Linked DNA regions of Mus musculus. Each later gene encodes a partner of the first gene's protein in a complex. Links are inferred from orthologs where the notes say so. Each region holds a gene or a part of one and is shown in the gene's direction. Other genes may lie near its edges.

Region 1 (6,979 bases):
ACGCACGAGCCCACTCTCCTTCCACAGTGAATGTTAGTGGGTCTGATCTTCTGAGGGTCTCGTGTGGGTAATCCCAGCAACAACCATGTGGTGCCCAGAGCACAGCCTTCTGTAGCAGGAGGCCACAGAGAAACTTAGAGGAGACATGACTGAATGAAGAGAAGAAATAAGGAAAGGATGTGACTGCTCCTCAGTATGGAGGGGGAGAAAGTAGATAAAAGGGAGAGTGTTAGCATTTTGTCTAAGCTCTGCCCCATAGTTACCTGGCAACAGCCAGGTGTGCCTGACTCACTATAAAAGGGGCTGCTTGCCCCTCCTCTCTCTCTCTTGCCCTCTTGCTCTTGCTTTCCTGCTTTTCATTCCTGCTCTCTCCCCATTTCCTTTCCCCCTCTTTCTCCATGTGCTCATGGCTTGCCTCTCCTCCTCCTCCTCCTCCTCCTCTTCCTTTCCTCTCCTCTCCTCTCCTCTCCCCTCCTCTCCCCTCCTCTCCCCTCCTCTCCCCTCCTCTCCCCTCCTCTCCCCTTCCCTCCCCTCTCCTCTCCTCTCCGCTCCTCTTTTCTCCCCTCCTCTCCGCTCCTCTTTTCTCCGCTCATCTCCTCTCTCCTCTCCCCCTTTCTCTGCCTCTGCTACCCTCTTGACCCCTCTCCCCATGCCCTGAATAAACTCTATTCTATACTATCCCGTGTGTGGCTGGTCCCATAGAACATATTTCCCCTGTCTTTGTCTTTTTATAAATACATCAGAGAGTGTGGGTAAAGGCAGGACCATCCAGAGTGGACATGACTAGACCAAGCTGGACCATGTGGGGAGAAGGGGGGGACCATGTACAGCTGTCAGGAGTCCAAAGGTACAAAAGGAACTGGGACTCTGGGTTTAGGGCTGGAGAGATGTCTCAGTGGTTAAGAGCACTGACTGCTCTTCCAGAGGTCCCGAGTTCAATTCCCAGTGACCACATGGTGGCTCACAACCATTTGTAATGAGATCTGATGCCCTCTTCTAGTGTGTCTGAAGACAGCGACAGTGTACTCATATACATAAAAATAAATAAATCCTTTTAAAAGAAAAAGTCTGGGTTCTATAGGGAAGATCCTGTAGTGGAAGGGTAGCCCACCCTCTAGGCTGCAGAGTTCAGGGTAGAGAGAGGGGTGTGCCAGCCATAGCCTGTCAGGTAGGAACTGGGGGTGGCTGGGAAAAAAACAGGCTGCCGGGTTAGCTTTGATATGTTAATATGCATCTCAGCAGGGAGTCCCAGTTCGAAACTTAATAACAATTAAGGAAAGGTGCAGCTATAAGCCAAGGGATACCAGGGTCTTTGGATATCACTGGAAGCTAGAACAAGACTTGGAAGAATTCTCCCCTTGATGCTTCAAAGGTGAATGGCAGAATTGATATAACCCATTCCAGACGTTCAGCCTCAGGAAGGGAGAGGAAGTGGGTTCTACAGTGAAAATGAACTCAGTTTGTGGTAATGGCAGAGAAACCCTAGAAACAAGCCCAGTGGAAACAGGGAAGACGCTCTTGGTATTAATCTTAGTGGAAATCAGCTCTATTGGCGGGTAACGTGCTGTGCTCAAATACCTTAAAACATCTCGAAACACCCATACTGTACTAACATTTAAGTTATCAACTAACAATAAGTTATGACAATAACTAGCATGAGTGGGTTTTAGTATGATTAGTTGTCATAGAGCATCCAATGTAAAAAGGCTCAAAGAGAACATAGTTGACTAATTAGTAGTAGTAGTAGTAGTAGTAGTAGTAGTAGTAGTAGTAGTAGTAGAAGAGGTAATTTGAATCATTTGCCCCGTTTGGCAAGCTATATTTTCTGCTGATTGCAATGTTCATTGGCAGAACCCCTCCACAGGTTTAACAGTAAACTAAAGAGGCCTTTAAAATATGCGCCATACCCATCACCTGTTCCTGAAGATTTCCTTGAGAACTTCAGCGGTAAATAGAAAACTTTCAGCTGCCGAAGAGTTTTAGCACAGGGTAGCTAGCAGGTGACGCTGATGACAGTCGCTCGGTTTCTGTAACTCTAGAGTGGATACTAGTCACCACCGGAGCATAGGGGTGGGGAGCGGGCAGCGGTGCCTTTGAAACAGATCACAGGGGACCAGGTCCAGGAGGCTGGTATGTAAAGAAATTTCCAGGGTTTTCCAGTGTTCAGCCAAGGCGTCCAGAAAAAGTGCCCTAGGGCAGGCTAAGGAAAAAGAAGCACTGCAAACGATTTTGTAAACGAATATTTCTCGAGACAGTTTTCTCAGATTTTTTTTTTTCTTTCTTTTTAGACCAGGCTGGCCTCGAACTCACAGGGGTTCGTCTGCCTCTGCCTCCCTGGTGCCGGCCTCGCCTAGATTTTTGTTCACATAACCAAACGTTTATGTGCGGTACGACCCCATCTCTGAGAATACGAGCAAGGCTCGAAATTTAAACTGTTTCTGAGAATCCTGTTTTCATTGGTATTTACAAGAAATGAGCCGTCAAGGATGCTCTATCAGACCAGTTAGCATCTAAGACCTAGTTTCCAAATTATAACTTAGGCAATATTGACTGGGCAGGTTTGGCGCCACCCTGTCACCCAAGGATCGCTTCTGAGGGCTTTAAGGGCAATTAACGGCGGTCTCTACATCACTCAGGCAGGGAAGGACCACTCGGACAGCTCAGAGACCACGCGGCCCCGCCCTCCACGGCGCCCCGCCCCCTTCCGGACACGGCGCCCCGCCCACTCGCGTCTCCGGAACCTCCGCTCGGCCAGCGTCGTCGGTCTGTCGGCCCTGTGTCTCCGTTCCGCTCGTCTGACTTAGGCACTGTTTTTGTTTGCGACGCTGTCGCGGAAGGGTGCGCTTTACGGCCGCGGGAGGACGCAGCGAGTCGGCGCCTTGGGCCTCTCGGCCGGGAAGCGGGGTAGGCGGGCGAGGTTGATGCCCGGCGGCGGGGCGAGCACGGCGTCTGGCCGGCTTCTCTCCTCAGCGGATCCCAGAGGGGCGCGGGAGGCAGCGGCGTTCCGGAGCGGCCCGGCGGGCTCGAGCGGAGGCCGAGGCGGAGCAGGCGGCCCTGGGCCAGGGATTGGAGGCCCCGCGGGCAGGATGAGCCTGACCCCGAAGGAGCTCTCGAGCCTGCTGAGCATCATCTCGGAGGAGGCGGGCGGCGGCAGCACCTTCGAGGGCCTGTCCACCGCCTTCCACCACTACTTCAGCAAGGCCGACCACTTCCGCCTGGGCTCGGTGCTGGTGATGCTGCTGCAGCAGCCGGACCTGCTGCCTAGCGCGGCGCAGCGCCTCACGGCGCTCTACCTGCTCTGGGAGATGTACCGCACCGAGCCGCTCGCCGCCAACCCGTTCGCGGCCAGCTTCGCGCACCTGCTCAACCCGGCGCCGCCCGCCCGCGGCGGCCAGGAGCCCGACCGGCCCCCGCTCTCAGGTACGTCCCGCAGCCAGCCGTGCGGGCGCAGCCAGCTGTTCTGGGGTGGGGGTGGGAGGGGGGTCGTCAGCTAGGGACATTCAGCCTCCTTGGAGGGGATCGACCCTCCCTCCTTTTCCATACTTTCTTTCCCTAAAATAGGGGAGAGATAGAAGTTGCAAGTTTTGTTTTTTTGGTTTTTTTTTTTTTTCAAATTCACTACACTCCAGATGATCCCTCCCAATCGAAAAAGCCAACACATCGTACAAGCCCACAAACGGGCTGGACATATTTTAGTATGCCAGATACGGTTCATTCTTGATTGTAAGGTCCTGAGGTATGCGAAGTTACAGCCAATGGCACTGAGTTTACCCCCTTTTTAAGCCTCCGAGTAAAGAAGTCGGTATTAAGAACCTGAGGTTGAAGTCCACATCACCACAATATCTAAAGTCTTTGCAGCCAACTCCTTGGTTAGCTGTAATGTCGCGTGAGGAGAGGATGAAGTCGTTTCTAATTAACCATTCAAAGATGCATGTGTCCTGGGCAGTATTGTGGAATGTTTGCTTTTGCAGCATTGCTAAGATCAGGCATAGATTACACCTGAGGATGCGCCCCTAAATTTGGTGCTGTGGATGGAACCCAGGGTCACTTCCTCTATACCATGAGCCTCGTCCAGGACTCTGGGACAGCTGTACCACTCACAGGCTGACATACATGTACATATGTACATATATATAGATATAGAGATAGAGATAGAGATATAGATATACACACACATATACATATATATATAATTTTTAAAGTATGTTTAAATTTGTAGGAATCTAAGTATTTGATAACAAAAAGTTCTCAACAGCTATTAAAACCTTACGTTTCATTGACATTTCCATAGATCACAGAATCTCAAGCGATATATTTGTTTATGGATTACTATGTGTACTAAGTGTGAATATTCAATCAGCTGGAACTCAGTTACATTTAGATCATAAGAATAGCTCCACGTGGCAAGTAGCAAAGTTTCCAGTTAACTTTTAAAGTTAAATTTTAAAACTTTACCAGTACCCATTGGCGAGAAACCGGCATGCATTCTTATTTGCAGGGTTCCTGCCTCCTATAACTCCACCAGAAAAGTTTTTCCTCTCCCAGCTCATGCTGGCACCCCCAAGGGAACTGTTCAAAAAGACACCTCGCCAGATTGCCTTGATGGACGTTGGAAACATGGGACAGTCTGTGGACATTAGCGGCCTTCAGTTAGCCCTGGCAGGTGAGGGAGGGCCAGTGATTGGGACATTCTTGTCGGTTCTTGAGATCCCCTGCTTAAAATCAACAAGTTTTTTCTTTTAAATTTACATTTCTGCTGTTTTTGTTTGATCCTCTCCCATCCTGCCCTGCCCTGTCCTTTCCCTGTCTCCCTGTCTGCCACCCCCTCTTTTGTTTGTTTGTTTTGAGACCAGGTTTCTTTGTGTAGCCTTGGCTGTCCTGGAAGAGCTGGGTAGAGCATGCTGGCCTCTAACTGAGCTCTTACTGGCTGACTCTGAGTACTCAGGCACGCAGCCCCAGGCCAGGCCCGCTCCAGTCCCCATCCCAGATCACACCCTTGTACCCCAGCACCTCCTCCACTCTCTTTTCTGTTTCCTTATTCTGTGCTTCTGATTGACACCCAGCCTGGTCTCTGCCCCGCACCTCCCTCCCTGCCATCCACCTCACTCCATGTTCTCTTTTGGAGTTATTTTAATATTATTATTGTTTGGTTTATAGGGATTAAAGATATTTACTTTGAACTCCTGATCTGTTCACGATGTTCTCAATTTTAAAATGTTCTGTGCCACCCTGCCCCTCCCCCTGCCCCCCAGGCTGGCCTTGGGTTCTTGACTCTCGTCTCCGCCTTCCAGGTGCTGGCATTACAAGGTCTAGCTTAAATGCTTTGAATGCTTCTTGTCTGAATCTGTTCCAGAGCGTCAGTCTGAGCTGCCAACCCAGAGCAAAGCCAGCTTCCCAAGCATCCTCAGTGACCCAGACCCGGACTCGTCCAACTCTGGATTTGACAGCTCAGTTGCCTCTCGGATCACAGAGTCTTTAGTCAGTGGCCCAAAGCCACCTATTGAAAGTAGGTATATGGGGCTTAGTTCATGTTCTCAGGGTTGTACTCTAGCAGCACTCGGGAATTCTACGTTTCTTACAGTACCTGATGACAGACTAACTGCCTTGCTGTCTAGAATATAGCAGACACAGACACCAGCTAGTTATACACTAGGATGTTTATTGCTTATTTGATGTACACCCCCCCACACACACACACACACATGCCTGCAGATAAAAATTCAGGTTTTACCAAAATGACTGTGTTTGTTTTAATGAGATAGTCTCATGTAGCGCAGAGTAGTCTAGAAATTTCCTGTGTAGCTGAGGATGACCTTAGAGTCCTGGTCATCCTCGGCTGAGAGTAGGATCCATAATCCAGCCACCCACCTCTGTCCTCTGTGGGAAGTGCTCTCTGGAAGGCTAGTGATGGACTGGGTAAGATCTGCTCTCAGGACAGAGAGAACTTCCTGCTGTACACCAGAGGCAGCGGAGAGGAGTGGGAGCTCGTGTGTCCCAGTTTAGTGGAAATTACTAAGTTTTCATCTCCTGGGCTTTTGTGGGGCTTAGCAGGCAGGTGGAGCCCACAGCTGGATAGACAGCTGGGTGTCTGTCTTGTTAAGTACTGAGATATAAAGTATACGTTGTCTTTCTTGAGAGTGGTCATTTGGGCATAGCACTGTGGGTCACTGGAGTTAGGGTGCAAGTGTTTATACAAGAACATAATAAGCCACTGGGGGCAAGCTGTGTGGTTGTGATTGTTGAGGCTTTAGCCTTTCTTTCTGGGCTTTTCAGCTGTGGAGCAACCAAATGAAGTATGATGTTAGTTCAGAAGTACTAACTAGTTTACTTTAGTGTGTCAATAATTGATAACTTACACATCAACCTTGAATTGTGGGGATAGCCCCAAGAACTCTGTTTAGTATTCTGAGGTGTCCTAGGGTCCACAAAAAGAAAGTTAAGGGGGAAAAACTCATAAAATTTTAGTTATATGTTAACTGCGATGAGAAATACCTTTAATCCCAACTCTCGGGAAGTAGAGGCAAGCAGATCTCTGTGAGTTTGAGGGTAGCCTGGTCTACAGAGTGAATTCCAGGACACCTGAGGACATAAAGGAGATTTTAAGAAAACAACCATCATCATTATCTTGTCGTCATCATCATCTGCATCTGCATATTTGACACCTGCATCCTCAGCCTAAGTGGCTATGCTTGCATTAAAACTCAGTTCATGTTCATGTTTTCCTCTTTCTGAAAAACAGACTTGTATTGGCATCATGCTGATGGTGTGTGTGTTGGGGGGGGGTCACGTGTTCTCGGTTGTCATTTGAGCGTGGAACTCTGATTTTTATAGCATTACTGTTTGAAGTATGTCTTATCACATGTCCTTGTTAAAGGTACCCTTGTACTTCATTAAATGCATATAGGGTGTGTGCAAATGTTAGCTCACCGACAGTCATGTGTTACTCTCATTATAGGCCACTTTCGACCAGAGTTTATCC
Region 2 (4,998 bases), on another chromosome or scaffold:
CTCAGCTTTTACTTGGGTATTGGGGGTCAAAAATACTCATGTTTGAACATCATCTCTCCAGCTTACATATCAGAAAAATGTTATTTTAGTGACTGTAGAGTTAAATTTATACTATCATGTGTTCAAGATGCTGAGTGATCAGTTTCTGCACTGTAGTTATGGACGTGTTTCTTTTCATTGTTCCTGTGTGTACGTTATTGTTAATCCTTTTGCCTATAGTATGACTTGTTTAACTTTCTATCTGAAAAACTAATTTCTTTCATTGTATGGTATTAATGTATTTTTTTCTGAATTATTTTAATCTTTTTATTAGTGGTTATGACTTTGGCTATTTAATCAAAATTCTGACCAACTCTAACTTGCCTGAGGAAGAACTTGATTTCTTTGAGATCCTTCGGTTATTTTTTCCTGTCATTTATGATGTGAAGTACCTCATGAAGAGCTGCAAAAATCTCAAAGTAAGGCTTCAGATGACTTTATCCGGAACTAGCACATTAGTTAGCCCAATGAGTCTCAACCTGGAAGTTGAACAACCCTTTCACAGGGATCAATTATGACCATTGGAAAACACAAATATTTATATTATGATTCATAACAGAAAAATCATAGTTAAGAAGCGATAAAAATAGTTTTATGGTTGGGGTTCACCACAACAAAGCTGTATTAAAGGATGCAGCATTAGGAAGGTTGAGAAGCACAATTTAGACCAAGTAATTTCTATAATATCTTAGGCCTGAATGTTTTAAACCATGTTTTAGAAGTTATGTTAAGCCGGGCAGTGGTGGTGCATGCCTTTAATCCCAGCACTTAGGAGGCAGAGGCAGTCAGATTTCTGAGTTCAAGGCTGGCCCGGTCTACAGAATAAGTTCCAGGACAGCCAGGGCTACACAGAAAAACCCTGTCTCCAAAAAAAAGAAAAAAGTTAGTTAAATTATCTGATCCTATTCTTAATAAACAATCTCTCTTCAAAGCTGCGGTATTTATCTTAACAGGATAAGGTTTGTTTTGGTTTTGTGTTTTCCTTGGTTGGATTTTTGTCTTGTTGTAGATACTTTAAATTGTATTTTATGTATGTGGGTATTTTACTTGCATGTGTATATGCACTAAATGTGTGCCTGCTGTCTGAGGAGGTTAGAAGAGGGCATCCCATCTCCTAGATTATAGTTATGGATGGTTGTGAACCACCATGCTGTGTTGGGGCTGAGCCTGTGTCCTCTGCAAAAACAGCAAGTGCTCTTACCTGCTGAGCTATCTTTCCAACCAAGTTATCTTACCTGCTGAGCCATTTTTCCAGCCCAGAATAATGTTGATATATTAATTGCATTAAATATATTTAAGAGGGCTGGTGAGATGGCTCAGTGGGTAAGAGCACCCGACTGCTCTTCCGAAGGTCCAGAGTTCAAATCCCAGCAACCACATGGTGGCTCACAACCATCCGTAATAAGATCTGACTCCCTCTTCTGGTGTGTCTGAAGACAGCTACAGTGTACTTACATATAATAATAAAATAAATCTTTTAAAAATATATATATATTTAAGATACACACACTCTCACTCACTTCTGTGGAAGTTTACAGCAAGAGGTAGCAGAGGCTAAAAGAGAGAGTGTCAGACCCTCTGGAACTGGAGTTATGGGTACTTGTGAGCCACCTAGTGGGTGCTAGAAACTGAAATTTGGTCCTCCACAACAGCTGTGCTCTTAGCTGCTGAGCCAACTCTTTAGTCCCCAGAATAAATTTTTAACAAAAGCCAAGCTAAGGGCCATGTTTTTGTTATTGATGCCAGATTGAGGGTCATCAACTGAAATGAAAGTGTGAGGTGTACACTGACAGAGCCCTGTATTACAGAGGTTCTCATACTCCCAGCACACAGAACTATCACAAGCATACAGATTGGGGTTGGCCAGCAGGGGGCAGAGACACTCAGTAGTGTTCTAAGGTGGTTTTCCTTCAGATTATCCTGACTAGAGACTCTCCTTTATTCTTTCTTGTTAAAGTATGATGTTGTTATTTTCGTAGCTAAAACTGGTTAGGCATAAATACTATATAGTAAATGTGTAGGTTCTATATAGACAGTAGCTTATTCTGATAATACTGAACATATGTAGCCATGTATTTTTAACCTTTGGACATTAATTTTATCAAAACAAACATTTCCTGATTAAAGAAAAGTACTACTTTGGCTCAAGAGCAAATTCCCCTGAGTTGGCACAGATCCCTGGCAATACACTGAGTGGGTTTTTAGTTGCTGGATTTTGGTGTGATATGTTAAGTTATAACTAAGGAAACAAGTGTATGTGTAGCCAATATTGTCCCTGTCTTCAGTAAAACCAAGGTTGGCCAAGTTTTCCCTATCTAGGTTTTAGAAAAATACAGACAGAGCTTTGCTTTAGGAAACAGTAAGGAATTTAATAGTTTTTCTTAAGCAAGAATAGAGGAATTATAATGTGGAAGCTTTAGTTTCAACAATTTACTGAGAATTGTAGGACAGAAGTAATTTGTCACTGTTGTAGGTGTGGTGCCAAATAACTAGGAGAACTTCTTGAAAGATTATCTCATGACTGTCAGTTGAAAGTCACAGAATCCTGTGTCATTTGAGGTTTCCTCATAAGTGAACTCCAGCAGAGTATTCTGACTACTTACACTGATGAGTGGCATGCTGAGAATCTAAGGCTCCCACCTGGCTGGCTCTGGAAGTTTTTGGTTTTGTTTTGTTTTGTTTTGTTTTGGTTATTTATTTATTTATTTTTGGTTTTTCAAGACAGGGTTTCTTTTATTTATTTATTTATTTTTGGTTTTTCAAGACAGGGTTTCTCTGTATAGCCCTGGCTGTCCTGGAACTTACTTTGTAGACCAGGCTGGCCTCGAACTCAGAAATCCGCCTGCCTCTGCCTCCTGAGTGCTGGGATTAAAGGCGTGCGCCACCATGCCCGGCTGTATTTTGTTTTTTTAATTGACAGCTTGGTATAATGATAGTTTTCAGAAACAGAGTCCTAATTTTTTATTCTTCTATATATTCAGAAATATCTAAAAATATCAAATATTTTATTGAGTGCTATGTGAGCTGCTCACATTAAAAGTGTATGTTAGCAATAAGGTGCTACCAGTCATTCATATCTAGTCTGCTGCTGTGTTCTAAGCAGCTGCCAAGGATGCATGGTGCACACAATGTTAGAAACCGTTGCTGGCAGGAGTCCTGTCAGGCTAGGATGTGACTACAGGATAGTAAAGGCTTTGTATTTTAAGGAGGAAGTTGATTGGTAGTCTGTTCTGTGTCTGTCTATTTCTTCTCTTTTCCTTTGACACTCGTTATTTTTCTCAGTCATAGCTATAGTAATATAAGCAGATCAGAGCAACCATTCTAAAAGAGTTGTATATTTGTAAAATTCTCTTTTTAGTTGAGAAAATGGAAATTATGTGGTAGATTGACAATGACAGTGGTCTGAACACTCATGTTGTCTTTGTTTTACTAAGTTTTAAATACTTTAGGGGATGCAGATATTTTTAATGACACTGAGTATGGTTTATTACTGTTACCCTGAATATGATCTACTTCCTTCATATCTCTGGAAAGTTGTTAAGGCATGCTTAACTTGCCTTAAGATGTATAATTAAAATAAAATTTTCCTATTAGAATTTCATATTCTGGTAAAAAAAGGCTTTTATAGTCCACAGATAAATTACAGATTCATATTTTATCAATCCCCTTGCCATCTTTACAAGGTTCATCTTTACATATTAAAAATGTATTCATATTTTTGTCAGTGTCTAAATCTGTAATTGTGAATTCCAGTCCCAAAGTCCTCTCTATTTGACAAGCAACTTTTCTTCCTTCTAGGGTGGATTACAGGAAGTTGCTGAGCAGTTAGAGCTGGAGCGCATAGGCCCTCAGCACCAGGCAGGATCTGACTCACTGCTTACAGGAATGGCCTTTTTCAAAATGAGAGAAGTATGAAGACATCAGTGCCTTTTTCTTGGTTGTTAGGTAGAGAACATTAAAGGTCTGATGACAAAAGTTTTGGGCATTAAGAACCTACTAAGTGAAGATATAAATAGAGGTACTATATAAGTTACATCCACCACATTTGAATGAAAATGTTAAATAAGTCCTCCTGAAATGTAACGCAAAAGGAAATAGAATAAACTCTTTATAGAATAAAAAAACATTATTTATTCTACTGAAATATGTTGTTTATAGAATAAAAAATTAGGTGATTGTAGAGATCATGTACATATGAACATGCTGTTTTTTAAGCTAAAAAGGTAATAGTGAGGGAACTCAACTTTCTTAGACCCCATACGAGCCAGGGAGTCGTACCTTCTTTTTCTAGAAACTGGTGGCGAAAATAGATTTGCTCATGTCATTCTTCATTGCTTTAAAGGTTTTATAAAGTAGAACTTAACAGTTTTTACTAAGTCTTAAAGGCTTTTTGAATATATAGGTATTAATTAAATCTGAAGTCTGACATATAGTTGAGTCAAAACTATCAGGAATTCAAGTATAAAATTGTTAGGAGTAGAAGGATGATATGTAGTGGAACTGAGTGTTTTTAGGATAGATAACTAGGTGATAGATGTCGTGGTTACTTCATTGCTGATAATAATAAACAAATTTTAATTGTATACCCACACACACACACACACACACACACATATATACACACACACACACACACACATGTATTCTATTTTTGGTACACTGTGTGTGTGTGTCCTATTTTAGTTTGGTATAAATGGTACAAATATATATATAAAATGTGCCTACAGAAACACATTTTTATGAAATAGTTGCTGTGGAATTATTTTGAGTATATTCTCTTGGTAAAAACATGCTATTGACAGAACGCATTTGACTTGTTTTGCCAGGTAGTATTGATTCAGAAGTTATTTGAATTGTCCACTCACGTAACTAACTTAGTTTCAGTATAGGACCACCTTTTGGATTTTTTTTTTTTTTTTAGTTTTTTTGAGACAGGGTTTCTCTGTTTAGTCTTGGCTG
Region 3 (4,998 bases), on another chromosome or scaffold:
CCTTTTTTTTTTTAAAAGATTTATTTATTTATTTGATGTATATGAGTACGCTGTTGCTGTCTTCAGACACATCAGAAGAGGGCATCAGATCCCATTACAGATGTTTGTGAGCCACCATGTGGTTGCTGGGAATTGAACTCAGGACCTCTGGAAGAGCAGTGGTGCTCTTAACCACTGAGCCATCTCTCTAGCCCAGTAACTTGCCATTTTTAATGTCATGTTAAGGATTCGGGTCAACAGGTAGGGTTTTGTTTGTATCAAGAGAGAACAAACTTGACAAAGGCAAGTGTAAGCACTCCATAGGTAGTGGATGCTGAGTGCACTGACTGTTAATGAAGTTATGGTAAAACTCTGGTTTGTGTGTGTTTTCAGATAGGGTCTTGCTAGGTAGCCCTGGTTGACCTTAAATGGACTCAGTATGCAGTCCACGCTGGTCTCCCTCCTTCTACCTTGGCCTCCTGAGTGTTAGGATCATGTGTCTGGGTCACGTATCTGACTAAAATACAATTTTAATGTGTTTGATTTGTAGATATCTTATACCACCATGTAAACTTAATGTGATTTCAAACTGTCTTTATATCTAGATTGGATCCAGTGTGGACAATTAAATCAAACAGAAGGAGGCTTGTTTGTTTTTTTACATAGTTGGCTCACGGTGGCTCCTCAGGTGCCTTCAGGATGCCTGCGGCACTTGTAGAAAACAGTCAGGTCATCTGTGAGGTGTGGGCCAGCAATCTTGAGGAAGAGATGCGGAAGATCCGTGAGATTGTCCTCAGCTACAGCTATATCGCTATGGTGAGTAGGCCCTCCCCACCAAAGCCAGGGAAGGTTAGACTGATGGAAACCTAATTGCTTTTGTGAATCAAGGCAGCTAGTGTCTCTGAGGAGGGCATAGCTTCTGACACAAGTTTTTGTAATGTGTTCCTCTGATGGAAAGTCTTTTATATTTTTATTTTTGTTTATTTAGATAGGATCTGGATATGTAAGCCCTGGCTAGCCCAGCACTTGCTGGGTAGTCCAGGCAGGCCTTGTGCTTATCCTCCTGCTTCTGCCTTCTTGGTGCTGAGCTATGGTTGCCCCATTGTGCCCAGTATGTGTGGTGCTGGGAAGTGCTCTAGTGTCTGACCTACCTCAGCCCCTTTGGGTATATCTCCTCACACATGGGAATTTGAGCATGTGGTACTTATTAATTTTTTAAAATTTGGAGACAGGGTTTCATGTAACAGGCATATTTCAAGAGGACGACTTGACTTTCTGATCCTCCTGCCTCTATCTCCCAAGTGCTAGGAAGATAGGCATGTACCAACATGCCCAGCCTATGTTTTCAAAATATTCAAACATTTTATTGCTAGCACAAAAAAGGCAGGAGATGTCACATTGCAGATCTGGTGTCTCTGGGTAAAGTGGGAAGGACTGGTACTGTGTGGCTTATTTTCCTGCCCAATGGCGGGTTAGGTGGCACTCTTCTTAGGCCAGCCCCTGAGCACGCAGGTGCTCTGTTTTACTCCAGGCTTGGAGCTTGCCACTGTCTGTATTCAAACCCTGCTTTCACTCCTCTGTCCATAAGAGGCACTAGCCTTACAAGCTCTCCCAGCAGGTTAAGATCCTGTCATCCCAAACACTGGGGGTGAGGGTGTGGGGTCAGGAGTTCAAGATCAATGAGTATAGGCCAGTCTGAGCTTTACAAGGGTATAAAAGGGTTTTATGTACACACGGCAGTGAAATAGTCACTCAGGAAAGAGGAAGGCTGCATTTGTCCTTTATAAAAACATTAGACCAAGGTGGGAGCTCTGAACAGCAGGCCATGAGCCGGGCTTCTCTTTCAAGTATACGTCACACCAAGAAGCTGATGGGATGGAGCGAAGCCCCTGTGAGCCACCCCATCTACTTGGCTGTATTTGTATTTAACTCATATTGGAAGGTCCTATCTGAAGGCTAGAGAGATGGCTCAGCAGTCGAGGGCACTTGTTCTTCCTGAGGACCATGGTTCAATTCACAGCACCCATATGATAGCTCACAACTGTCTGTAACTCCACTTCCAGGGGATTTGACCCTCTCCTACAGACACACATGCCACCAGTGCACTTGAAGTAAATGAATAAGTGAAAAAAGACGTTCCTACCTGAGCGCAGCTCCCTCTAGTCACCCATTCACCTGTCTGGGTTCTGTTGTGTTCTAGACCTTGGGAGCTTATCTTGGGCTTCTGTAAACTGAAGAGCAATTTTGCTCATGGGTTGCTGAGCACCACTGTTTGCTGAGGCTTAATGGTAAGAGGCTTTTGTTCCTAGGACACAGAGTTCCCAGGTGTTGTTGTACGGCCGATCGGTGAATTTCGAAGCTCCATAGATTACCAGTATCAGCTTCTGCGGTGCAATGTTGATCTTCTTAAAATCATCCAGCTGGGCCTTACGTTCACCAATGAGAAGGGGGAGTACCCGTCTGGAATCAACACATGGCAGTTCAACTTCAAGTTCAACCTGACGTGAGTGTCTTGGGAGACCCTCAGTGTTACTAGACAGCTGAGTTTGAGTGGGCTGGTTGCTGTAAGCTTTACTAATCATGTGGTTTTTGGGATTGAGGTGGGAGGAGACATGGTTTCTCTCTATTATGTTGCTCTGAGTGTCCTGAAACTTGCTATCTTTTTTTTTTTTTTTTTTTTTTTTGGTTTTTCAAGACAGGGTGTAGTCCTGGCTGTCCTGGAACTCACTCTGGAGACCAGGCTGGCCAGAGACCAGGCGGTCTCAGAAATCTGCCTGCCTCTGCCTCCCAAGTGCTGGGATTAAAGGCGTGTGCGACCACGCCCAGCTCTTTTTTCTTTTTTTTAAAAGATTTATTTATCTTTTATGTATGTATGTGAGTACACTGTAGCTGTCTTAAGACACACCAGAAGAGGGCATCAAATCCCTGTACAGATGGTTTTGAGCCACCGTGTGGTTGCTGGGAGTTGAACTCAGGACCTCTGGAAGCAGTCGGTGCTTTTAACCGCTGAGCCAGCTCTCCAGCCCCCAGCCCAAGATTTTTAACTGTTTTTTTTTGTTTTGTTTTGTTTTTTTGTTTTTGAGACAGGATTTTTCTGTGTAGCCCTGGCTGTCCTGGAACTCACTTTGTAGACCAGGCTGGCCTTGAATTCAGAAATCCTCCTGCCTCTGTCTCCTGAGTGCTGGGATTAAAGGCATGCGCCACCACGCCTGACCTTAACTGTTATTTTGTGTATTAATGTTTTGCCTGCATGTATATCTGTCCATCATGTATGTGCCTGGTGTCCACAGCAGTTAGCAGATCCCTGGGACTGGTAGTACGGATGGTTGGGAGCTAAGCCTGGGTCTTCTGTCACGGCAGCAAGAACTCGTAGTGCTGAGCCTCATCTCCAGCCCTGCCTTTTGTTTGTTTTATAAATAAACTTCAGGGGCTGGAGAGATGGCTCAGTGGTTAAGAGCGCCGACTGCTCTTCCAAAGGTCCTGAGTTCAAATCCCAGCAACCACATGGTGGCTCGCAACCATCCGTAATAAGTAAACTTCAGGGTTAGTTCTGTCTCAAGTTTGTTTTGTTAAATTCTACTGTAAATAATATAAAGAAGTGTAAATATGATTAAAAATTAAAAAAACCAAAGGCCGCATAGATGATAGTTCAGTGGTTAAAAGCCCAGGTTGTTCTTCCAGAGCTCCTGAGTTCAGTTCCCAGCAGCCACGTGGGCACTCTCTGTCTGTGATGGGCCTGAATGCCCTCTTCTGGTGTGCAAATATACAGACAAACATCCATATACATAAATAAATAAATATTTAAAAAAGATGAAAAACAGCATAAAAAAAATGTGTGGCTCAATGGTTAGGACACCGGCTGCCCCTCCAAAAGATCTGAGCTCAATTCCCAGAGCTGGGCTCACAATTGTTTAACTCATTCATTTACATAAAACACAATTTTAAGCAAGAGAATATAGGTTTTCTGTAATTAGGAAATACAAATCTGCTGGTTTTTGGAGTGTTTCAGGAGTTCTGTGTTTCCGAATCATAAGCTAACCATAACATCTCTCCTGCTTTGGTCTCACTGCCGCCAGCTCATAGTGACACCTTGTTTTTCAGAGAGGATATGTACTCCCAGGATTCCATAGATCTGCTTGCAAACTCAGGGCTGCAGTTCCAGAAACACGAGGAGGAAGGGATCGATACACTGCACTTTGCAGAGCTGCTTATGACATCGGGAGTGGTTCTCTGTGACAACGTCAAGTGGCTTTCATTTCACAGGTCAGTCCACGGGAACTGTGGCCTGTCTCTTCAGCATAGCTTCGCCCTTCTGACTGTAGGCTGCACTGGGGAGGAACTAAATTCTTGTTGATTTGAGTCCTCCTGGCTTTTTGGAAGCAGCAGTGAGGTGGTGTTGGTGTTCCTGTGTAGTGTTTGGGAGCACGTGAACACGCACATGGGCTTTGCATCACTTGACCTGCAGTGCTGTAGTGGCTGTGCAGTGCTGTCTTCCAGGTGGATGGAGGCTGCTGTGGGCTCGGTTATTTTCAGCCTGGTGTGGCTTGTCCTTTGAAATGTCCTCAAATACAGATATTCTTTAAATACTTTTTGGAAGGTGTTTATTTTTAAAGGGTATGTGTGTGTGTGGTATGTATAGGTATGTGTGTGAGTACCTAGGGAGCCAAAAGAGGATGCTGGGCCATTGCAGGTAGACTTACAGGCATTTGTGAGCTGTCTGACCTGGGTGCTGGGATTGGAACTCTGATTCAAAATTTCTCTTTAGGTGACCCTTCTCCTGGGCTCTTACGGCTTTACTTTTGAGTTTTGATTAATCAAATTCACACAAACTCTCAGGTTCTTGTGTGTTTCTCATCGTAGCTTTCCTTATGTAAATTTCCTCACTGAATGTAAAGCTGAGATCATCAGTGCTCTTTGAGAGGCCCAGCCCCCAGCCTGAGGTGGTGGTTTAAGGCTGGACTGAGGCTGCTTTCAGACATCTGCTTTATTCCTCCTTTAGTGGTTATGATTTTGGCTACA

Evidence for each region. The genes of interacting proteins can lie anywhere in the genome.
Region 2: Cnot11 (region 1) and Cnot7 share a complex: the UniProt entries of both Homo sapiens proteins name them as parts of the CCR4-NOT complex. The link is inferred for Mus musculus from reciprocal best matches to the Homo sapiens genes CNOT11 and CNOT7.
Region 3: Cnot11 (region 1) and Cnot8 share a complex: the UniProt entries of both Homo sapiens proteins name them as parts of the CCR4-NOT complex. The link is inferred for Mus musculus from reciprocal best matches to the Homo sapiens genes CNOT11 and CNOT8.

Annotation. Positions count from the first base shown.
Region 1 is NC_000067.6:39,532,918-39,539,896, forward strand, and holds the start of Cnot11 (CCR4-NOT transcription complex subunit 11), read left to right. Parts: upstream 1-2,783; 5' UTR 2,784-2,921; coding exon 2,922-3,420; intron 3,421-4,498; coding exon 4,499-4,663; intron 4,664-5,353; coding exon 5,354-5,506; intron 5,507-6,955; coding exon 6,956-6,979. UniProt on the Homo sapiens protein: Component of the CCR4-NOT complex which is one of the major cellular mRNA deadenylases and is linked to various cellular processes including bulk mRNA degradation, miRNA-mediated repression, translational repression during translational initiation and general transcription regulation.
Region 2 is NC_000074.6:40,494,755-40,499,752, reverse strand, and holds part of Cnot7 (CCR4-NOT transcription complex subunit 7), read left to right. Parts: intron 1-313; coding exon 314-458; intron 459-3,837; coding exon 3,838-3,948; exon of another isoform or gene 3,949-4,057; intron 4,058-4,998. UniProt on the Homo sapiens protein: Has 3'-5' poly(A) exoribonuclease activity for synthetic poly(A) RNA substrate. Its function seems to be partially redundant with that of CNOT8.
Region 3 is NC_000077.6:58,108,972-58,113,969, forward strand, and holds part of Cnot8 (CCR4-NOT transcription complex subunit 8), read left to right. Parts: intron 1-584; 5' UTR 585-678; coding exon 679-795; intron 796-2,288; coding exon 2,289-2,482; intron 2,483-4,080; coding exon 4,081-4,242; intron 4,243-4,978; coding exon 4,979-4,998. UniProt on the Homo sapiens protein: Has 3'-5' poly(A) exoribonuclease activity for synthetic poly(A) RNA substrate. Its function seems to be partially redundant with that of CNOT7.